Linked DNA regions of Lepisosteus oculatus. The protein of the gene in region 1 interacts with the protein of each later gene in a biochemical or structural test. Links are inferred from orthologs where the notes say so. Each region holds a gene or a part of one and is shown on either strand. Other genes may lie near its edges. The genes, in order: myog and csrp3.

Region 1 (12,555 bases):
AGTTGTTTCTTCATTAATTTGTAAAGTCTGTGGTTTAGAACATAAATACTGTACATTTAAAATGAGAATATAAATTAAAACATCTACCTACAGTAATTTGTTTTTTAAATAGCTAAATGGTTTATGAATCTGGACTTTTTTTTAATCAGAGAAACCTGGGCTTTGACTTCAAAAACATGGCTAGGTAGCGTGTTCTAGACTCTCACAACCATTTTTGTTCACTTTTACCTCATGTTCTCATCTTGAAATGTGTTTCCCCTTGATTTTTGTTTGTGTCCTATGGATCATGTTTTACTGTTTACTCATGAAGAAGTCCAATGGGATGAGTTTGCCCTTAGGGATTTTTAATACTTGAATCAGGTTCCTTCATAGTCTTACCATTCATGACTAAAAAGGTTTAAGCTCTTTTAGTCTGTCAGTTTGAATACAGTATACCTGGTCGCTCTTCTCTGAACTGAATTGTAGCAGCATCTTCTTGGTATCATGGCAACAAACATTGTGCACAATATTCTCAATGAGGTCTTACTAGAGCATGTTACAGTTTTATGAACTCAACATTTTTAAATATATATTTCATCAACATTTTTAAAGCGTGGGAAAGTGGAGTGTCTTATCTCACATGCAATAATGGTATATCATTGTAAGTTGTGGTGTATGTACACTGTAAGTTCCTAGTGTCAAGGAAGTGCTTTTTTGTGTGAGAATAATCGAATATCATTCTCAAGGTTTAAGCCACCTTTCAAATACTTGTTATACAAAGAAACAGGTTTCACTTAAGGAAATGTTCTATGCTATATTTTATGTGCCTAAACAATAGAAACAAACTAAGTGTTGTGAGATGTCTGTGACAATGGACACTTCTGTAATCATGGTTCATTAGGGATACAGTGCCCACTATGTATTTTAATAATTTCCTGAGAGTACCGGATCTCAGAAATGATAGAGCTCTTTTTTGGCGAGGTGCTAGTGCAAAAACAAATAGACTGTTGCAGGAGTGTATTTACAGAAGATGCTGTTTTTTTAATTATTTGTTTTTTTTTTATATTTATTTGATTGATTGGGATCTTTTGGAATATTCTGACTAACTTTAGTTGAAAATGTTCTGCTGAAATGTGAGGGTATTTAGGCCCTGAAAAATTTCAAACAAGTTATTCTAATAATATGATCTATTTCTAATGGGATATATTACACCTGAATATGCCTGTTCTCTGCTCTCAAACTGGATATTGTCTCTTGGATTTAGCAATCGGTGCAATGTGCATGCTTCATATACTTGTGGATTTTTTTTTACTTTTTATACATCACTGATGGGTTATGTTGCCCCTGTTGCCATACAAGTTAAGCACTTCAGAAGCGCAATTCTTATTAGTTGTGTATTGACAGGAGCTGCTCCAGTATTTCTATGTTCACACTATGCTTTAAAATAATCCAGCATTCCCATTGATGTGTTGATAGAGTACCAATTAATTTCTCTTTTAATGTAATGTACCTTCTCAATGTCTGTTTTGTTGATTGAAATGTCTCTTCCCAGCCTAGTTATCTGTGGATCTTTATGAGTGCTTGAAATTGTGGGAGCAAAAAACAAAGAAATATATATATATATTTGGTTGCATCCGTTTGTCATTTTCTTTTAAGCAGTTTCAATTGTCATTAAAACGTGTCTGAAACTGGGATATAATTTGCAAAAAAAGAAAAATGTGCAATAAATTCATCTTTTGAAGTATGAGAAAGGACTGATATGTACAGTGCCTTGCGAAAGTATTCGGCCCCCTTGAACTTTTCAACCTTTTGCCACATTTCAGGCTTCAAACATAAAGATATAAATTTTTTATTTTATGTGAAGAATCACCAACAAGTGGGACACAATTGTGAAGTGGAACGAAATCTATTGGATTTTTGAAACTTTTTTAACTAATAAAAAAATGAAAAGTGGGGCGTGCAAAATTATTCGGCCCCTTTACTTTCAGTGCAGCAAACTCACTCCAGAAGTTCAGCGAGGATCTCTGAATGATCCAATGTTGTCCTAAATGACTGATGGTGATAAATAGAATCCACCTGTGTGTAATCAAGTCTCTGTATAAATGCACCTGCTCTGTGATAGTCTCAAGGTTCTGTTGAAAGCGCAGAGAGCATCATGAAGACCAAGGAACACACCAGGCAGGTCCGTAATACTGTTGTGGAGAAGTTTAAAGCCGGATTTGGATACAAAAAGATTTCCCAAGCTTCAAACATCCCAAGGAGCACTGTGCAAGCGATCATCTTGAAATGGAAGGAGTATCAGACCACTGCAAATCTACCAAGACCTGGCCGTCCCTCTAAAACTTTCAGCTCAGACAAGGAGAAGACTGATCAGAGATGCAGCCAAGAGGCCCATGATCACTCTGGATGAACTGCAGAGAACTACAGCTGAGGTGGGAGAGTCTGTCCATAGGACAACAATCAGTCTTACACTGCACAAATCTGGCCTTTATGGAAGAGTGGCAAGAAGAAAGCCATTTCTCAAAGACATCCATAAAAAGTCTCGTCTAAAGTTTGCCACAAGCCACCTGGGAGACACCCCAAACATGTGGAAGAAGGTGCTCTGGTCAGATGAAAACAAAATTGAACTTTTTGGCCACAATGCAAAACGATATGTTTGGCGTAAAAGCAACACAGCTCATCACCCTCAACACACCATCCCCACTGTCAAACATGGTGGTGGCAGCATCATGGTTTGGGCCTGCTTTTCTTCAGCAGGGACAGGGAAGATGGTTAAAATTGAGGGGAAGATGGATGCAGCCAAATACAGGACCATTCTGGATGAAAACCTGTTGGAGTCTGCAAAAGACCTGAAACTGGGACGGAGATTTATCTTCCAACAAGACAATGATCCCAAACATACAGCAAAATCTACAAAGGAATGGTTCACAAATAAACGTATCCAGGTGTTTGAATGGCCAAGTCAAAGTCCAGACCTGAATCCAATCGAGAATCTGTGGAAAGAGCTGAAAACTGCTGTTCACAAACGCTCTCCATCCAACCTCACTGAGCTCGAGCTGTTTTGCAAGGAAGAATGGGCAAGAATTTCAGTCTCTCGATGTGCAAAACTGATAGAGACATACCCCAAGCGACTTGCAGCTGTAATCGCAGCAAAAGGTGGCTCTACAAAGTATTAACGCAAGGGGGCCGAATAATTTTGCACGCCCCACTTTTCATTTTTTTATTAGTTAAAAAAGTTTCAAAAATCCAATAGATTTCGTTCCACTTCACAATTGTGTCCCACTTGTTGGTGATTCTTCACATAAAATAAAAAATTTATATCTTTATGTTTGAAGCCTGAAATGTGGCAAAAGGTTGAAAAGTTCAAGGGGGCCGAATACTTTCGCAAGGCACTGTACTGTATGTATACCATAAATGGAGTTTATTTCTAATACTTTGTATAAAAAACATACTGTATACTGTACACATTCAAATTAAGCTGCTACTGTTTCTGAGACTGGTTTATATTAATTTAGGTTTTGATCAAACAGTTTAATATTAGATTTAATATTTATTAATTAGATTTATATGAATATCACCATTACATTCTTGGTAATAACATTAACACGTCATTGTAGAATTGATAAAGAGGCTTGACAATGAAACATAGTTTAATTTCTTTTGAACATAATCAGAGACAGAAACAAGACACTTGGAAAATACAAATACACATCAGTCTTTATTATAAAAATCCAAAATAAGTTAACAAAAAAAATAAAATAGCAAATCCACTCTGTAAAAAAGACACATATTTACATCACTTTCTTCCACATTTCTAGCTTAAGTTAAGCAAAAATTGGTCAAACTGCAGTATAAAATATTGGCCCCACATGAATAACCATTCATTTTAAGCAAAACACACACAAATAAAATGCAAGACCAAAAGGTAAATGCTTTAAAGGATGATCTCAACTCATCAATATTAAGTTAAGGAGCAAAGAGCTGTTAGAATCGTTAAAGCTCTCACTTCACATATCTATACGTATAAAATAAAATAAAAAATGGACCACACATTTTGTACAAGGAAACCACTAAGTCATGATTTGACATGTTTTGTGGTTCTTGACTCTCAGGAGTGCTTTTGGTTCTTTGGAAGATTTGTGTTCGGCTCCGTCAAAGCTCTCATTTGGAAATATCCCCTGGGTAGGTGACCGCTGTGCCTTCCACAGTAATGCTGTCCACTATGGAGCTCAAAGACCGAAGGTTGGGTTGTTCCGAAGAGTCTTCATTAAGAAGGTCTAAAAAAATATAAAAATATCAAGTATAAAAAATATGATGAGGATGTGTCCTCATTTAGCTGTTTTCCCTTATTTCTAATTGTGCTCTGTAGCACAATTATATCACACACATAGTACAAGAAATTATCAGCTACTCAAGGAATGACTGAATTCACAAGGCTGTGTTGTGGGTGACAATGATCAATTCTTGTGTCTTCAATTAAGAAGGAATAAACGACACTATTTTTAAAACATGCCTATTGAGGAAAAGGAGCTGTTGCACATTACATGTGTGTATGTGTACCATGGAAGGATGATGGGTAAAGTGTGATTAAGAGAAAAATTGTGGCATCGACAAAAAAACCAGCAGACATAAGATTAGGCTTGTTAAATTGTTTAGTGTGCTGTTTTGATGGTAATACATGATAAACGGAGGTATGTTTTCTGAAAAATGTAGGAATTCAGCACTTGCCTCATTTTTAAATAACTGCATTTCCCTCATTTACAGCTTCCCCAGTGGTGTTTGTATCCAGATAAGGGACACAGCCATACAGTAGCTAGTAAGCAAAACATCCTTCATTCTCATTTGTTGGCATAATTCAGTCCCTGAACAATTAGGAATCCAGCGCTTTTTGCCTGTCATGGATTAATTACCATTATATTCAAAATCCTAATTATTTGTTGTAAGCTATAAAACAAGAATGTTCCATCTTTAATAATAAGTTTAGTACAAAGCTTGCTTCAGTTATACTAATGTATTGTCAGCTTCTACCATATTGTTGCTGTTTTCTTATATCATAATTATTGGTTAGCAGCAGTATTTTCTTTCACCAATATGTTGGTATGTTGAATGATTATACAGTAATATCATTGACATTTAGAGAACATTTCTATTTCAATTTAGTTGTTTTTTTTTCACTTTTTCTTGCAGGAATTAGACATCAAACTCCTAACAACATCTGCATCCCTGACAAGTTCTTTATTTATTTTCAAGTAAAATTTAGAAATGTTTTTTACATTTCTATAAAACAGGGAAATGAGAGGAGAACGTACAAAAAAATAATCCTGGTTAATATGTGATGTTTTTTTTTTTTTCCTGGCTTAGTCAGAATACCCTTGAAAATGAGAGGCTTGAATGCTCTAGTTTTGTTTTTGGTAAGTTCAAAATGACCTTAACAGAAAAGCTCGAGAGATATCCATGTAGAATAAATGCCTGCAGTAGGAAGCTCCTAGCACACCCTTGTCACGCCCACAGGCTGCGTAACTGCTGCCTTACCCTCAGGGTTGTTGCTGAATGCGTGGCCACAGTGATCTGAGGGGCTGCTCCACTCCGGGCTGCTGCAACAGGTGCTGCCAGAGCCCTGCTCACTGGAAGACGACACCTGCCGCCAGGAACACATTGACATCACACAGTCAGGCATGTCAGTTTCATTCACTGGACGTAAACAGCTAAGGGTTGGCTGAAACAAAGCACTATATCACACAAGCAAGTACAAGCAAGACCTTCCTCCCCAAAGAATAACTGGAACTTTTACCTTATCAACCAATAAGACTCATATAACTGTTTTTTTTTTCATTTTGTCTTGAATTTGTCTGGGAGGTTTCCTGAAAATATAAAGATCTTTATCCTTATAAAATTAGCTCATATACTGTAGATTATGGGTTTCAGGTCTTTAATTTTTTGGGTAAAACATTTGCAATTATTTGTTAGTTTTGTGATGGTTTCTCAGAACAAGCGGGAATCCAGGGCTCTTTGCCAGGCAGATGAAATGTATGTCCATACTAAATTAGTATGCTATTTTTTTTTAAAATAAGTCGGTTTAGATAGCATAGTGTCAAGTGAAACTGAATAAAAAGTGTTGTATTTACAGTATGTGTTAAAACTTGGCTTGCAATAGAAGATAAAGACAACATTATGTCATTCAAACTTCATACACATATAAATAAAAAAAAATGATTTTAACTTAATTCTACAACAACACATAGTATAAAAAACAATATGCAGAGCTATAATATATACTACACATCTGCTTTAAAACATGTGTCCTGAACAATGTTACTACTGAAAAGATTGTGTAGAAAATAGTACTTGTTCATTAATATTGATATTCTATTTCATTTTATTTTTATGGTCTGAATAATAAAGTCTAAGATAATTATTGGCACTTTTGAAAAACGTTCCTTAGCCTATTAAGGAGGCACAGTACAGGACAGGACCAGTGTTTTTTATTTGCTTGTCTAAATATGTGCTGTCCCTCAGACCTGGTAAATACATTGAATTTTTTAAATTGTATGATGTTTCCAGTATAAAAAAGTGTCTTCCGGTGGTTACATTTGGTTTCCAATAAAATAATTGCATACACTACAACAAAAGGCTAATTACTCTTAAACCCAAAACGTTTACAATTGGAGAACTGTCATTCAAAACACTGGCACTGATGCTGTAATGACACCAAACACTATTATTAAATATGCTTTGTTATTAAACATGTTCTTAAATATTCTGCATCTAAACACTGCCATATCTGTTGTTGTAATCATTTTCTGCTAAAGATCCAATGTTTTCTTGCTTAGCTATTCTCTTTTAAACTAAATAGTTGATTTATACTTTAGGTTTCAGCTCTCTAAGGGCTTGATAATCAGACTTGTTTGTAGGTCTTAATTTAGTGACACTAAAGTTGGGAAAATATGTCAAAGGTTTATGTTTTTTAATTAGATATGTCTGTGCACCAGTGAGGAGGTCTGGGAGTACTGTTTACAATAAATACAAAGTGAAATAAGACTGAGACTAATGTAAAGGTAAAAGACAGTAATTTCAGGTGTAAGAAAAAAACAATGATCATCTTGTGTGCTTGTAGCCCTGTTATTTAAAAATCCATATTTCTTTTGAGATCATGTACTCAGATCTTATTGTTGGATTTCTCAAGCCTTCATTCCTTAAGGACAATTGGTGTTAGTTTAAAAAAATACCTTAAAATAACATTTAAAATACTTTACAATTAAAATAATACTCAAAACACCAATGTAGAGTGCATTGCAAATGGATAGTTAAATGAAATTTTAGTAAATCTAAATCCATTAACCCACTGAAATAGATTCTATTTCATCAAAGCCAGAGACATTGTACATTTGAACATGTTTTTTTGAGTTACAGTAGTGATAATTATTGTTGTTGTTGATACTTGTAGAAAGCTGTTAAAACTTGATCCTTGCTGAAAGGACTAGTCAAACCATACAAGGTAGTGATTACCATTAGACTTTTTGTTGTTATTTATTTTTTGTTTACAGTAACCCCCTCAGTAACATCAGAGTACTGCAGGTCAGTGACAGGACACACCCTGCACGGTGCACTTGCTTTGACAGCCGGACCTCCCTCTCTGCTTCATTCACTTACCCTCTGGGAGCCAGAGCCCCTGTAGTGGAGCCCACCCTGTTCTCTCTCCTGCTGGTTCAGGGAGCTGACCAGCGCCTGCAGCCTCTCAATGTACTGGATCGCACTGCGCAGGATCTCTACTTTAGGGAGCCTCTGGTTGGGGTTCATGAGAGTGCTCCGCTTAAGCGCTTCGAAAGCCTCGTTGACCTTCTTCAGCCTCCTCTTCTCCCTCAGGGTGGCAGCTTTTCTGCGATCCATGGTGACGGATTTCCGCTTGCAGATTTTGCAGGCCCAAGGCAAACACTGGCCGGGGCAGTGCTCTTGAGGGGACAGGCTGGCCGCTGGGGACACCTTGTCTTCCAGGCCCGTGCCGGACAGTAACCTGCTGTCAGAGCACAGTCCCATCACTGGTCGCTCCTGGTAGGTAGTTTGATCGAAAGCACCTTGCAGCCGGGTGGGGAAAAAATTTTCACCTCCTTCATAGAACCTCTGATCGGGAAAGAAATAAGGGTTGGTCTCAAAAAGCTCCATTTTTCTGGCCAGTGCAAGGTCACTCTCCACTCCTCGCCACTGCTGGTCTGAAAATTTGTGCTCGTGTTCACAGGATCTGTGGAAAACAACTGCTCACACCAACTGTTTGGTGGCATTTAAACCCTCTGCTTGGCATTAGATCACTGGGTTAAATATAGAGAAGCCCAGAGAAACCTGATCCCACTTTTAGCTGTTGCCTCACATCCAAACTTTACATCTCTTTTCATTCTTGATCTCTTGGGGGGTTTTGGGGCGGTTTGGTTCAAGGAATAGTGACACAGTCTTTTAAAAGATAGGAGGACCCTAGCTTTGTTCTTTCAAGCAAAAAGAGTTAAATAAAATGTAATGCACTGTACACAAATTACCCAAACCCTAATGAATGCAGTCTTAATAAGGCATTGATTCCCATTTTTTATTTTGTTTCAAAATCTATTGCTACAATAATCAATTTCCTTTGTCTTTTTTACCATCTCGTATACAATATAACCATTTTTAAAGCTTTAGACCTTTTGGAAAGTGTATCCATTTAGAAAAGAAAAGGTAAAGATACTTTATGAGGCTGATTGCCAGAACTTCACACTTTGGTAAAATAAAAGAGGGTTTTCATTTTTTTATTTTAAGTAAATTAATTTTTTGGAAGAAACTCCCTATCAATGATCCATGCAATAATTTAGACCAAATGACTCCAATCAGCTCTACACTAATTGATGTAACTTGAACACCAGATTAGGAATTTCCACCAAGATGATCTGTAATACTACATGATGACTGCTCACTGAAATCAGAGAGAAGTAAATTAATTGTTGACAGTTAATATCTCCTCTGTGTTCTTCCTGAACTTAGATAATAATGCAGTGCAGCTATTGTTGATTTAGACATATCCCAGTTAAGTTATCTGATTAACAGGACTCACTATTAACGGCTTTCAACACTACACAGTTATTCAAATACTGGCTGTGTAACTTTTTTTCGCACCCTCTAAATGAACATGAATGCTCTTGGTTCAGAAGTGCATTAGCCCTGCCAGTCAGATTTCACTATCTCTGCAAACTGCAGCCCAGAAGCTTGTCCTCTCCCCTTAGTAACTCAGCCCAGGCCTGATGGATTAAGTGATTCTGCTGTTTGCTGTCAGTTTAAAGTGTGATGGATAGTCACTGATGGTTGAGGCAGTACAAAGACATTACTGTACTGGAGAGGGGTCCTCTCAGTGTGTTATAATCACTCATTACTACCTTAACATTTGGCCACTGGGTTCCAGAGCAGCATTATAATATTTAACCTTTATATTTATATTATATTTAATATAATTTAATAATAACACCTGAAGAAGGCTCCACGGCCGAAATGTTGTGTTTTCTTTCTTCTTTTTTTCAGCATGGGATAAACCTATCACTTGTTCCTTTGCAGCCTACACATGCTGACGCAGCTAACCACCTGAACTTATAATATTTAAGTCAGTTTTATATGGATTTATTTTTTATTAAATTTTGAGTTGTCATCTCAACCTTCCATTCATCCATTTTCTAACTGCCTTATCCAATTCAGGGTCACGGAGGATGCTGGAGACTAACCCAGCAAACAACAGGCACAAGGTGGGATACAAACTGGTTGGGACATCGCAAGGCACACACATAACAGGGCCAACTTTACAAAAGCCATTTAACCTTCCTGTATGTCTTTTGATGGTGGAAGGAAACTGGATCACCCAGAGGATAGCCACACGAACACATGGAGAACTCCATAGAGATACAGTAGCACCCCAAGAATTGAACCCATTGCCCCAGGAATGCTGACCACTGTGCCACCCTATGTCTGGCTTCCTCAGAACATAGATGTCAACCATTTCACTTTTCTCGCTAAATGAAACGTCTCTTAGCAAAGCAGCTTCTTTGTCACTTAAGGAAACAAATGGTAACAGTGACTTGACATTTCATTAGCCTGTATATTTCCTTGTTTAGCTTCTTTAATTTCTTCGGCGCTGCCAGAATAGAAATCAGCGCAATGTCAACATTTGGACACGAAAGTAAAATAACAGAGTCATTTTTCAAAATTACATCCAGATAATTCTGTAGCTTTGCTGCATATTCCAACAGTGGTTTTTGTACTCCCATACAGTATAGTCTGATAGGACCACTTTCAAAGTGTTCTTGCTCTTGTGCAAAATATGGTCCATTTTTCTCTTCCAGTACAGAGACCAAATTCCAAAATCCTCTAACAATTTCTTTTCCACACCCGTTTTGTCTTCAGCCTTTTAAAGAAAAGACATTTAAAGAAAATTACAGCAAATCAAAGTGAATTGTGTTTTGTAAGGACAGTGGGTGCAGCAAAAATATACTGTAGTGCACCTTGGGGTTCTAAAGCAGAAGGAAGGGAGTTAATGCTGCATTTTTGGTGTTAAAAGGTTGTGTCTCTTACTGGTGTCTGACAAAGATCAACCTAGTAAAACTAATCAGACTCAAGAAGATAGATATGTTTATTACCAATAAGTGTGTTTTATATCACTGCCAGTTTTCTGAGTGTTTGCAGTTGTAAATCATTTTTCAAAATCCTATCGTGGTCACTTTTGTGTGGTAGGGGTTACTTTTGTTTGTGAGGTTGATTCATGATTGGTGATTCATGGCAGTCTTTCCTGTGGTTTTGCAGATCTAAAGTCCCACCGAACATGAGCTACCAAATGCTAACTTATGTAAGCAAGTTGCTCCAAGTCTGAGAATCTGTCTTTTGAAATGTACAATTTAGAGTATGCTAGTGCATGTCAATACTGGATCCGCAGCTGATTTTTCCTTGTACAATACAAAATGTCAGCCATGAAAATAGTAATATTGATTTGCTTAGTAGGTGTTTGAAGAAAACAGGAAGTGAAAAGGTTTGCCCGTGGAGTTAAATGGCTTCTGGTTTTTTAACGGTTCGGGTTTGTCGATACCAAGTTGAAGAAGTGACCAAGAGAGCAGCTTTAGGAATTTCTTCTCGCGATCGGAGACTTGTCGTTGCTTGTGTTCCTGCTTCATCACTGACAAGCAGGAGCGCATTGCGAGACAGCTGTGGCGGGTGAATTAGCTTCTTGTGAAGAAATGCCCAGAACGTGGCCGCATTAGCTATGGAATGTGCTCTCTTCTCTCATACTTGGCTCCCGACCCCTAGAAAAATATTATGCCCTCCGTTATTGCTTCCAAGAGAGTGCTGGCCTCTGTAATGACTGCGACAGATGCTTGCCTCCACCGTGTTTAGAGCTTTTCTGCTTTTGACTTCTAAGTTGCCTGTTGCTATGGGATTTGCTTTGTCAAATGATCCGTTGACTGCTCAGATTAAATTTCATCCAAAGTGTGCTATAGAACATGTGACTTGTATAGAAAATGTGTTGTGAATGCAAAAGATCAGTTAGATCCGTCTGTCTAATCTTTAGCATTTTTTATTCCTTTATTTGTTAAATGAAAACATCTTGAGTGTATTTTTGCTTTATGATAAGAATATGTTTATGATATTTTTAAATGTGTTTCTTATTATCAAACGTTATTTTAAAACTATAAATATTGATGTCTATTAATATATCTACTTATTTATCTTTTGTTGTGACCTAAGTCATTTCAAGGGGCAAAGTGTGAATTTGCCTTCTAAAAAATGTAAGGTATGTGCATCAATCATCAGACATTAACTGCAGAGCACAGGGATCTTTGAAGTGTGGGACAAAACATTTAACTCTGAAAATGAAGGTGTTGATTTTTATTCACCAATGATAGATTGATGGAAGTTAAATTCAAAGTGCTTGAGTATAGTTTACATACAGTATAGGCAAAGATATTGCATTATATACTTGGAGATTGAGGCCATGGATAAATCTTTTTAGTCTTTTTTTAAGAGTTTTAGTCTCCTACTACAAAGACGTTATGCACAGTACCAGTGAGAAAGCATAAATTTATTTTACGTTATTTCAAGTTTTTATTCTGGCAATACTTATAGTAAAATAAGAAAACTTGAGGTCAGATAAATGAATATAGCTTTGATGGTCTGTGTCAGTGTAGGTACTGTACAGTATGTGTATGCAGCTTCCTGTAAACTGTAAATTAGTGAATGAATGACTTCCTTTCTCACGTGCATAATTACCCACAGTAAATGGAAGGACCTACTGTAAATGAGTAAATGCTTTTGCCAATGCGATTATTTTGAATTTGACTTTGATAGTTTCCAGAATTCTCTCTCAGGTCTCTGTACAGGTATCTGTACATAACTTAATTCACATTTAGGAAATCACAAGCCACTACAAATATATGTTTTTCTATGCTCTTTCACAGCTAAAGAAAAAAGGGGACTATTGACAGAGAGATAGCTGGAAGGAAATACTACATGTTGAAAATGGTCATTGCACTTGACCTGTTGGCTTTTCATTGACATGACTGATGCAGAGCTGTGACTTGCAAT
Region 2 (12,533 bases), on another chromosome or scaffold:
TACATCAGCAAATCTAAGGTTCTTTTTTGTATGAATTGACAATGTATAACTTGATATTGAGAAATAATATCAATCTTTTTTAGGTTATCTATATTTAAGTTTGATATGTTCTGAAGATATAAAATGAAATACCAGCCTGGAGAAATAGTGAATTGCATTATTGTTATCCAGTATTTCTGTAAGCATTTCTGTATTAAGATACATTAATATGCTGTAGTCTTTCTGTCAGATTAAGTATTTCTGTCAGATTAAGTACATACTGTATCCTTTCTGTGCACAACAGTGATACTGTACTTAAGGGATTTGTGCCTGGTCATATACTTCACTACCTTAAATTATTATTATTATAGATCCATATAGATCCACTGTAAGGCATAACAGTGCGGCTAGCATTTATTTGTGCAGTGGCCTCATAGGAACAATACATGCACTTTTCAGTGAAAAACTGACTCTAACATCTTTTAGTGTCATTGGGCTATGAGATGACATTTATTAATGTCATATATTTAAATAAGTACAATCCACACTCCAGCATATTATCCGATATGGTTATACACATCTAAAGGTAATTACATGTCACATTATTTGTGTCAAGTCATATAGAAAGCATTTTTCTTACATGTGATGAATGCCTCATCATTTTGTACTATGTATTTTAACACAAAATTCGGAAGATTTTAGCTTTGTTCACAAGTTATCCCTGCTGGTTTACTGTTTTTCTTCGACAGCTCCCAGATTTCCAAGACCCATTCCCTTTGGACCAAAGTTTTTGGCGTAGCAAACTGGGGGAAAAAGAAAAAGAAGGAAATGTGAGGAAGATCTACAACCGATGAACCACCTTTCCTTTAGGGTAGACTAGAACCTGTCATTACATGTATTTTAAACTGTAATATTTATAGGAATTTCATGTTGAGTCTACTATTGGTCAGAACACAGCAGTGATTGTTATAGACTTTTTAGGGTCAAATTATCGTGGTGTAAGCAGCACATAACAGCAGACTTTTTTAAGTTGACAGCTGGCAGAGGGTTGGTAGAGATAAGGACTGTGATTCACTGAAAAGGTTATTAAAAGTCTTCATGTTAGTTCTAGGAATTGAAAGGCAATCTGCATTCTTCTTTACTCTAACGAGGCTCTCTAATCATGCTCTTAGAATGTTATTAATTTCAATACATTGTTCATTTTTAGGAACCTTTTATCCAGGGTTTTTTTTTTTGAAAAAGGAATTTGATTTGAAATTGTGCAGATTTAACTGTCCTGACACTAAACTGTTCTTTGGCTTATGCTATACTTTAATGGGTTGTCCATTGTTTGTAGACTGGGCAAAAAGATCAAAGCTTAGTATAAATAGAATAGTGTTACTTATTCTAGAAATTATGGCATTTACAAATTGCCTTACAAATACTCTACATTCTATTATTTATTTGTTTAATTTAAAGATTTAATGTTGTAAACTAGTATATTCCTAATGTGTGTTTTTTATTTAAATGTGGGGGTCTTCTCTATACCTTTGCAGTAAATCTCTCCATCTTTGTCAGTCACTGTCGTAGATTCCAGACTCTTCCCACAGAGGGCACAGCGGAAGCATGTTTTATGCCAGGGCTGAACACACAGAACAGATCATTTTATTTGGGCTTCGTTTCATTATGGCATTTAACAATAATGACCAATTGCAACAGTTATCACACTTATTTTTTCTGAGTGAATAATTTTCATTTTCCATAAAAGTTGCTAATAATTAATATATTATTCATATAATTTAACCCCTGCAGATAGGTGAACAGATGTTAGTGAGCTGTGGATTTGAAATGCGCCACTTTATGAATACTGTCCATTTTTATTTATCTTTATACAGTTGTATGTACCAAGCTTGAAACTTCATACTGAATGTATTAGGTTTTCGAGATGCTCTAACTTCAAGCCTCTACAATGAGAACTTTTAACAAGACACAATCACATATAGAGGCATCTTCTCCGTGGGCCAAACTCGCTACTCTTAAAAACAAGTGGGTGAGTCACAAACAACAAACTTTGTGTTACTTTGTGTGCTATAAATGTAGCACACTTCCTTCGCTGGTATTTACTCCCACAAACGTCCAAATCGATGACACCTGGAGCAAACAAATTTGCTTTATCCCAGAGATTCTGTTTATGAATGAACGAGCAACAGACACTTGCTATTGTTCTCATTCAGCTGGAGAGTTTGTGCTTCATGTACTGTAGCCATTCTCAAAGTTACAAATGTAAAAAAAAACCTGTTACTGTTCTGTAGGTTCTGTAGGTATGAGCATGGCTTTTCTTCAGCAGATGTGACTCCAAAAGCAACAGTTTACATCCTCTCTTGAATGAAACCCGGCTGTGCATATTTGTACCTTTCCTCCTCCCATGACTTTCTCTGCAGCGTAAACAGCCTTAGAACAGCGCGGGCATCTCTCTGAGCCTCCGAATTTCTGAGCAAACTTGTTGGGGTTCGAGTTCGCTGTCGGGCGATGAGGCTTTGATCTAATCCAAAGAGGTGGGAAAAAATGTGTTAGTACATAATTTTTATTGCATCTATAAAAGTCAATGGTTATTTGTCCAACTGCAGTTGTGGGCATAAGGCTTATGTATTAGTTTATACCCCCAACCATAGCCCTTAACCTACCCTTAAACCTGAACTGACCTCATTTTCACAAACTTGAGAAGAGAGGCTAAAAAGTAATTGAGGCTATACCCACACAAAAATATTGTGAAATATTGGAAATGGTATTTTTAACAGTGGTTGGCAAATAGCTGTACTTTTTTAAAAACACATAGAAACAGGTGTGTTGTGTTCATTCAAGGAGTGATATATGTTTTGTTGTTTTCAGTTTTGTTTTTAAAATCACTTCGTACTTTGGGTAAGCCTAGGCATGTATGATAGGAATCTGTTTTGAGACACCTTCACCTGAGAAACTTTGCTCAAAACATGTTTTTTACTCCAGGGTAATTTGCTAGTTTGTGATTGTGGTGCATCCTGGTCTTTGAGAAAAATGAAAGGATTCACGCGACTTATTACAACATACACAAAGTACTTTGCATTTACATCTGCATTAGAATTGTGTACCTTATTTTCCCAACAGATATAATCAGGGTTTTGGAATGGTACATTTATGGGGTAATCCATTAAGGTTACAAGTAACAAGCAATGTAAGGGGTTAATTTTTAAAAGAAATAATAATTTTAAAGTTTTAAGACGGAATATAACATTTTACAACATAGTAACAATACACACGTAAAATGGATCTCTAACTCATGGCTTTTCAAATGATTTTCCCCCCAACGTCTTGGTTTATTCTCAAATGTAATCACTTACACGTGTAGCTCGTCACTGTAGTAGATTACTTTTAATTAATAATCTCTCGGTTTGAGAAGGTTGAAAATACGGATTTTTGTTATGCATGGTATTCCGTGTTTTCGGAATGTATTGTAAAGTAATATCCCTTTGAATTTAGGCCATTCCTATTTAAGGAGACTAAAATCTGCTCATTACGAAAACAAGATGGAGTGATTCCCATTCAATATTTGAGCGTCGGAGGATTTTGCCTCAAGCAAATCAGTCTCAAACATAATTTCCAGGTGACCCTGATCACTACTCCGGGTCTGTTCAGGACGCATTCAGTCCGGTAGCTTCTCAGGTGCGTTTCACGGTTGAACCAGGCGTCCTGGCAAAATTCGAACCGTTTGGAGAAGTGTGTAGTTCATATTAACTTGATAAACCTCAGGGGAAAAAAAAACGTATTACGCTGCAGAGGGCAATTGATGGATTTGACTAAACTCGGTTCTACTGAAGACGCAGAAGCTGACTATTGCCTTTGAAGTTGCAAAGTGAGCTCCAAAAATACGCGGATGACTTCGCGTACAAGGAACACTTTTGCGCATTTGGCACTGGACTTTGGGACACTTATTTAGTGCTGTAGTTTAGGTAAACAGGAAATTGAAAATGGTATTTGATCTGCTGGATGAATTCCCTTCACGTACTCTTGCGGTTGAATCCCCAGGTGCTCTCCGGGGTCTGAGCTGAGTGCTCCCGCACCTTGTCCATAGCCGTAGCCTTTTGGACCATACTTCTTCCCGTAACAGGTCTTGCAGTAAATTTCAGACTCGTGTGCTGCTACCGTTGTGCTATCAAGGGCTTTTCTGCAGACCACTAGAAGAAACAAAGGTAAAGCTTTCTTAGAAGACGGGAGCTGCAAAACATTTGTTGTTGTTGTTGTTGTTGTTTTTTTTATTTGGTCGCTGCCTGTCAGTATGATGCTTCATCCTGGGGTATGTTGTACATAAAAGTACCGTTTGCTAGCCAAAAGGTAAATTTAAATTTAGTTAAAAACTTGACTTATCGTGGTCACAAAAATAAAATGGCGTCAAACCTGACAATGAAAGCTATTTATAAATGTCACACATGACCTTTGCCTGGCCTGCTAAAGATAGAGCTAGCATCATTCAGATTGAGCCCTGGTGATTTCCACACCTCGGTGCTACGTTGTTAAGTAGCCAAAGAAGGTCGCTGTGAAGATAACAGATATTTTAGTTAATATTGTGCCAGTCTCCAAATTCCCTTGCATGCAAAATTGTCCGCTGTTGATGTTGAGCTATTGGCCAGTATAACCTGGTTTCTAATTCCATTTTTGTTTCGGAGGGTAAACTTTTTAATTTGCCGCAACAGACGGAGCACAGCCTGAACGGCAATTAATTACACGGACATTTGGGATTCAATGACATTACCGATTGCAGCCCAAATGTCAGACTTGCAATTTAATTATGGGCTACAGTTCATAACACGTGATGAAGAGCTGGATAGGTCTGTTGCCCTGCAAGCTCTTAAATCCTGGGTTTCAATTCGGAGCCCAGGGGTGCTTTTGTGCGGCGACTGCATCCCGCAGTACAATGACACGCTTTTTAGGTTAACTGGCGTCTCTAAACTACTGTATGCTCGTCTGTTTTCTGCAATGACATCTTGAAACAGGTGTCGCAGGATTTGCGTGCCTTTTTGAAAAAGGGGCAAACGTTTGGTTTAGAGTTCATTCCCTGCGCCCTCAGCACAGACCCATCCCAAATGCCCCCAAAGACAAAAATGAGCGACGGAGAAGTGTCGTCCGTGTGGACCATTAGTGGTGAATAAACGGAGGACTCACTGCAGATAAAGCAGGTTTTGTGGAAACTTCTTCCATTGCACTGTATCTCCTCTGCGTGATAAACCGTTTTCTCACAGGCTGAACACTTCGCTCCACCGCCCCAGTTCGGCATCTTAAATCTGTTTTTTCAAACGATCTGCTGGAAAAGAGAAAAATCACACAACCGCACAACATACAGTACCTGTATCCTGAAACAACAGTATTTACCAACTTCGCATCATTAAATACCTCATTGGAACCGCGTTTTCAGACCATTAATACTTAAAAAAATATTTTATAAGGGATTCGTTTCAAGCATGCTTACTCTAAATGTTCTAGCATTAAGGTGTTTTAGCGTGTTATGACATTTTCATGGCCTTAAAAGCATTTTGCTTTTGAATCTTTATTCGCAGAGCATTGAACGTATTTTAAACGTATACCAAGTTCTTTTAGTAATACATATCTACTATTAATTGTATATTGCGTGGCAAATATTAATTAGTGCCAAGTTTTTGTACACGTCAAGACACAACTAGAAAATAAATCAATTTAGCCCGTTATTTAAAACGTTATGATCAATTTATTATATAGTGATAAGAATGAACAGAAGAGTGTTTGATGTGTGTGAAGTTTTATCCCAAATGAGCGATAAGGTATCGGGTGACTGATAGACTACACGCAAGTTACTTATTCTCTCCATTGATTAAGCGACATTAAGCAATTTGAATGTCTGGAATGCCGCGATAAGAGTCCAGGAATAGGGTCTGTACAAAGACCACAGTTACGTACTGAAGAACTTATGCCAATGGTTCTTTAAAGGTAAATATTTAGATGATTTCATGCAGTTTGAGGCTTCATTCCCGAAATATACAAATCGACTTGAGGGGAAAAAATAGTTTAGTAACATATGTAACGTTAACTCCCGAGATAAAACGATATTGGCAAGAATTTATTAAAACATTAACTGGTATGCAGGTTTTTTATTCTATTCGGCTGGACTTCATCAGGACTACCATAATGGTTTCACGGTTTAATTACATGTTTAAAAACACAACTCTAATGATATTTTGGACGAGACGGGAATTTTGCCACTACAATTTACTAACACCAAAATCAATACAAAAGTATTTTACAACCAGTTAATCCAACATAACTCATGATATAGCACGGAATTCAATATTTTGACGTGACATTCTGTGATACTTTATGAGAAAGTCTTTGTAAAACAATACCAAGACTTACAAAATAGAGATCCCTGGGTCCAGTAGTCCTTCTCTGTTGCTTAGATCGGTGGGTTTGAGTTGATGTCAAACCAGGCAGCCTTAAATACTGGACATCTTTCATTCACAGCTATAGGAGGTATCAGTAGCTGACATCCAAATTAAGCGGTCTTCCCAAAATAACTTCTGACAAATCCTTTGCTTTGTGCTGGGAACTGGTAAGTCCCTAGGGGTGCCATTTGTTCTCATGATAAATATGGGCATGTGTGTAAATATGAAGGCAGCTGCATGTGTCAGATTTGTAGGCTGTATTGAAGGGTCCTTAGTTAAGAAATTTTCATCAGTGAAAAGAAATACAGGTGTTGTATGCTGAAAACAGAAAGAATCCCCCTTTATTTTCTTAGTAAATGTGTACATATCAAATTAATTCAACTGCAATCCAACCAAAGCAGTCCAGGTTAACAATTTTGATCATTGACAAATGTAAGAAAATCCTTCCTATAAATTAATGAAATTATAATTCACCTGATTACACTAATAGGAAATTTCCCCATACATTCATTTTTTATCTTTATTTCATAGATACCAATTAAAGAACTGTAACAGTTAACATATAAAATGTGCAAAATGTCATTGTGCCGTACATCTTTTTGCTAACATGCAAAACATGAATCATCCATGTATCGGTTTGATTTGTCCTATTAAGGCTACTTGTATTACTGAATAAGAAACATTTGTCATAGTTTATTCCTACATGCATATTTTGAATATCCTAAATGGGCATTGGAAAATTATGCAGTACATTAATGCATTGGGTCCGAGGTCCTGTGCCACTTCCTGCTTAAAACTCCAGTTCTGCTACAGCACTGACTGTATAAAAAGCTAGTGTTTAACATTAAAGATGGAGATCTTCAGTGTGAATGTTTTCTCATCCTGTGGAAATGTTGATTAACTGTTAAAACATTGTCTGTGCTTTAAGATGTACAGTGTAAACTGTATTTGTGTTTTTGCAGGTTTTCAAGCCCAGTTAGTTTCAGTGATCATGGGGCACAAGTCTGGTTCAGTAGAAACTGCAAGAAGTAAATAGCAGAGTACATACAGTATGCTGTTTTGTAACTACTCTAAAACCTGCAGGTACCCTATATTTTAAGTTTTTCCATGCTGCAGTTTTTATTAGAGGACACCTGGTAGCAGGGGCTGTAGTCTTCAGAAGGTATATCCATCTGTTTTGTAAAATCCACAAAACTTTTTAATGACTTTCACTGCAGGTGTTGCAGGACCTGAACACGTCTGTGCTTAGGACCTAGAAATAATTTAATATGAACTAGCGTACCCCTTTGTGCAAAGGGACACCCCCCCACTCACACAGTCAAATTGTCAAAGCTTTATAAATATCGTTTTGCAGCTCATGAAAGAAAAAAACAGTGCAGAGAGGGTCTGCTGCTACAGTCTTCAGGTTTCTTCAGTGCTCACTTCAAGTTTCCTCTGCGGTATGTAAATGTTCTCGTGAGACGAATGACTAGACGAGACCACAGCAGCCAAGGGAGACAAGGTGGAGACTGGGGTGTGGAAGAAGCTCTGTTGAGCACACTGGGATGCTTTGGGCGTTGCCAGAAGAGGCTGTTTGAAAATAAAAACAGTTACAGTCAGCTGATAACTTGGATTCAAAGTTTTCAAGGTGTGTAATGGATACTTTTACTCTAATGTTAATTCATGCTTTACATAAACAGTTCTGACTGCTTCTGTAACTGGTTAAAAATAATTTCTACATAGTTTGCACGTCTTTTTTGTATTTCACTGCTGCTATAAATATTTAATAATTTACAATGTGTTACATCAACAACTGCATATTACTATATAGTAGCGTGAAACATTTTTTTGTCTCTCTTCTTTTAAGAGGTCTTGAACAACCAAGTCCTAGTTCTCACCTGCTGTAAACTGATCAAAGTAACATGCTGTCCAGGCATCTGAGGCTGAACCGGGACTGGAGACATAGGCTTGATGAAGATCATCCCCCCTGGCTGAAAGCTCAGGTGTCCTGGGACGGGGCTGGCCTGCTCCAGGGGGGTGGCCACAGTGCCAGGGCTGGCACCCTGCGGGATTCCAGCCGAGATCAGCCCGAGGTTCTGTAGTGTGAAGTTCAGTATTGCGGGGCTGGGGCTGTTCACGTGCTGCCCGGAGGCAAAAGAAGGGCTCGACTGGTTGATAACTGGAAAGGAGGCGAGGGAGACGGAGGGGCTGGGGTGCTGAAACGTGGCGTGCGATGTGAAGCTCGTAGGGGTGAGTTCTGAAGACATCACAGGTAGGGCCCCTGTGGGGGAGGGGGGCAAAGACAGAATGGTAGTCAAATGGGTTTCAACCACTTCCGAAACACGGGAGTTCCAATGCTATCTTGTGAGCTTTCTCGCTCCGTGTCGGTACCTGTGACAGGGGGTTGGTAAGCCTTGTGGTGTGAAGCTGAGGGCTTGGGGCTTTCTCCGTCCGGGGACCGCGACCTCTGAAGGCTGAAGAGGGACTGCTGCGATATGGGAATAAGATAGCCGGCTGGCACTAGTGCCTGGAACAACAGATGTAACAAAAATCAATGGTCAGAACACATTTTCCCATCCGTGGATATCATTTGGAACGGAAATATCAAACTTTGGTTACCTCAGGGTGCAGATGACCAGAAGGCACCATGATTTCTGGCACGGAGACCGATCGTATAGGAGTAAGTCCTGCTTCGCTGTCGGAACACGAAAGCTTCTCTTCTTTTTCCAGGAATGTCTCCACACTTTCGTCAAGCTGCTCTGATCCCTTGTTCTCCGGGGTATTGATAAACTCTGGATCTAAGTGCAAGGCTCTAGGCGAAGGTCTGTTGGGTACCAATCCCCTGCGTGCCTTGAGCTTGTCCAGGTAGAGTTCGTATAGCTCTGCTTCACCGGGTGACGAACCCTGATGATAAAAATCAGGAGAGAATTTCACTTAAGAATGAGCATTTTCTCGGGTCGCATCTGAGAAAATTGACACCGAATCATCGGTAACCAAGCAGGAGAGTTACATACGTCTTTCCTTAACGCTTGACTAAACCTATTGGTCAGGCACTTTTTAAGTAATATAACAAATTAACTTTTCTGAATGACAGTTGCTAACAATGAACGTAGCTAATATTTTTAGGTTATCTGTAGCTCTGGAAACACCCTTAGAATCAAAAATAGAAAGAGGAAAACATACCCTAGAATTTGTCTGGGTGTTCTTTCTTTTTGGAGAAGAGTTTTCAAGCTTTTCAGTACAGGCTCGTTTATAGACCCTCTTGGGACTGTTCAGCGAACAAGGCGACTGGCAATTCTTTTGAGAGGAGTCATTTTCTGGATCAGAAGCTGAAGCTGTCCTGTCGCAGTGGATTTCTAAGCCAGCGTCAGGTGGACTTTCCCCACCTTTATCTTCAAATCTCATGGATCGTACAGCCAGGCTGGAGCGATTAGCTACTGGCCGCGCACAAGAGTGCACATATATAGCACATGGTCCAGCAGTCTGGTTCTGAGGTAGTATCATGGGGATGAGGGGAGAATACTGACAGTGAAGATAAGGTACTGCTCTGGTAGATGGCGCAAGGGTCTTAGCCTGAGAGTTGGTATCCTGCTGTTCTGCGTTTACTAGTTGCTCAACAGCTCCTGATGTTTTGGTGGCTTTTCCTTTTTGTTTTTGAGCTTGTGTCACAGTCTGTTTGGGTTTCTTCTTGCTTTTCCTAAAACAAAAGTAAATAGCAGTTTATTTCATGAGGTAGAAAAATGAGTTGCATTGAACAAATGAAGTTTTGATTCCCCCATGGTGACTGTTTTTTGGTGTGTATGTGCATTATCACTGTATTAGCATTAAGTAGTTCAGGTGGGTAGCTGCGTCAGCATGTGTAGCCTGCAAAGGAACAAGTAATAGGTTTATTCCGTGCTGGAAAAAAAGAAGAAAGAAAACAACGTTTTGGCTGTGGAGCCTTCTTCAGGTGTCTTGTCTTTCTCACCTGAAGAAGGCTCCACGGCCGAAACGTTTTCTTTCTTCTTTTTTTTCAGCATGGAATAAACCTATTACTTGTTTGTTTAGATGCATTAAGGCTATTAAAAACCAAAGTTTGATGCTTTGTCCGAACCAAGTTAAATAAGGAAATAAGAAACATTTCCACATTACAGAAAAGAAATATTGCACTAAATGACCTTAGTTAGAACTTACCTTGATTGCTCATCAAGCTGAATTTTGCAGATGGCTGCCAGCTGGGCCATTCTGCTTGGGTAACATTCAGGATCGGTCGAGTCTTGGGGGAAACAAGGATACGGAGATAAGTGTAAAGAATGAAAAAAAACAAAGTGCAAAAGGGACATTAAATGCCATATACTTGCTCATAATCCATCACAATTTACACAATATTTAAAAGCTAACATCTTATAAATGTATTGCTCAGTATTCTAGTCTGTTTGCTGGAAGAGGTTGTTTCCTGTTTAATAAAAGATGCCAGTGATGATCTGTAAGGCACTGTGTAGCAAGACATCTTGCTTCATTGTGACATGTATCACTGTCCAGTAGTTCACTTTATCTGGGGGATCATTTATTTTCAGACTTGTAGGTGTTAAAGATGTAAAGATTTATTTAATGCTGAAAAAGAGAAAAAAAGAAACACATTTTGGCTGGGGAGCCTTCTTCAAGTGCCATCTGACTCTACAGCCGAAAACGTTGTTTTATTTTCATCATGGAATAAACCTTTACTTGTTCCTTTGCAGCCTACGCATGCTGACGCAGCTTCCTACTTGTGTTAAAGATATGCCCCGCCACTGTATTGCTGTACTGCCTAACACTTACTTTTCATCTTGACAGGACTGCTGGGTGCAGAGTTTATTTTCCTTCGGTCATCCTGGATACTCTTTGCTAGCTTGACAAGAGATGGGTGCCGTGTGAAGCTATGCTTTGTCTTGGACGAAGGGAAGAGATTTTTGGCGCAATTTTCGATGGAGGATCTGGATTCTAATGTCTTGGATGTAGCTAAAGTGGCAGCTGATGATGTCTTTTCATCTGTGGAAAAAGGAAAAAATAAGCAAAATGAAGCTTAAAGACTAAAAGTAGTATGATCATATTAAACAACTGCAGTAAATTATAGCATTAAAAATGTACCTTTAACACATAAGAAATCCTCAGGTCCTGTCCACTTGAATGCTGGCTTCCGGCCTCTCTCCTCTGTAACGTGCACCTTTTTTATCAGCTCCAGACTACTCAGCACGTTAGCGATGTCATACAGCCTCCGGATTTTTGCTGGAATAGATGCAGTGGAAACCATAAGCACATGCGGTCCCCGAATTATTGAAGTATTGTAGAGCAACCGAGCACGCGTCATAAAACGGAAATCCAGATAAATAAAATACTGCTCACTTTTAAACTTGCTCTTATCCAAATCAATCACTTGATCCTCTCCGATGAGAATTTTAGCTGCGATGTCCAGACTGACCACGCGGGGCTTGGAAACCAAGAACAGCATCACGAACTTCTGACTCATAACTCTCAGCGACTTGTCCTTCCTGCTGTTGACCGAAGCTGTGAAAGCAGAAAGGAAATGGCAGTGAGGTTTCTGTTGTTTAGTGTAGTTCTCTGCTTAGACACAAGGGTCTTTTTTTTTTTATACAGCAGCAACTTTTTTCCATGTATACGTATGACACTTCACTCTGAGGTAAAAACCAGTTTCTTCATCTCATATTTTGGTTGTGGTCATAGGTTGTAAATCTGCATTTAACACCTCGACGGCTTCCGTTTTCCATTTAGCTTTTCAAATGTTTGTGAAAGCATTTCAGCCAGACAGAAATAAGCAGATGCTTTGAGGGGAAAGATTTAATAGAGTTAATTGTGAGCTTAATTTCTTCAAAAAGTTGCTGTTGGAAGCCTCTTCCTCTCCATGCTCATTTTCGCACACAGACAAAAGGGAGCGTGTCTGAAGCGCGGAGCCTCACCTGCCCTGAACTCCATCCCCGGGAGCTCCACGAAGAACATCTCCCTCTGCCCCACGTCGCCATCCAGCCCCCCGGCTTGCCGCACGTCCTCGTTCTCCTTCTCCTCGGCGTCCGAGTCGAACTCCCTCTCGTGACTCCTCTGCTTCAGCTGCTGCATCTGCGCCGAGTACCCGTGCTCCTCGCCCACCTGCTTCAGCATGCCCAGGGTCTGCGCCAGCTT

The links.
Region 2: the proteins of myog (region 1) and csrp3 form a complex in vitro, tested with the Homo sapiens proteins (2 studies listed by BioGRID and IntAct, with this or other methods). The link is inferred for Lepisosteus oculatus from reciprocal best matches to the Homo sapiens genes MYOG and CSRP3.

What each region holds. Positions count from the first base shown.
Region 1 is NC_090700.1:33,456,840-33,469,394, forward strand, and holds myog (myogenin), read right to left. Parts: upstream 8,256-12,555; 5' UTR 8,140-8,255; coding exon 7,630-8,139; intron 5,618-7,629; coding exon 5,512-5,617; intron 4,257-5,511; coding exon 4,141-4,256; 3' UTR 3,661-4,140; downstream 1-3,660. UniProt on the Homo sapiens protein: Acts as a transcriptional activator that promotes transcription of muscle-specific target genes and plays a role in muscle differentiation, cell cycle exit and muscle atrophy.
Region 2 is NC_090716.1:7,307,570-7,320,102, reverse strand, and holds the start of csrp3 (cysteine and glycine-rich protein 3), read right to left. Parts: upstream 6,521-12,533; 5' UTR 6,373-6,520; intron 5,291-6,372; 5' UTR 5,264-5,290; coding exon 5,152-5,263; intron 4,167-5,151; coding exon 3,998-4,166; intron 2,501-3,997; coding exon 2,371-2,500; intron 1,601-2,370; coding exon 1,507-1,600; intron 783-1,506; coding exon 709-782; 3' UTR 1-708. Other genes in the region: transcription factor E2F8, read right to left, coding at 7,803-7,970, 8,279-8,661, 8,772-8,907, 9,000-9,284, 9,564-10,077, 10,554-10,635, 11,178-11,387, 11,487-11,624 and 2 more. UniProt on the Homo sapiens protein: Positive regulator of myogenesis. Acts as a cofactor for myogenic bHLH transcription factors such as MYOD1, and probably MYOG and MYF6.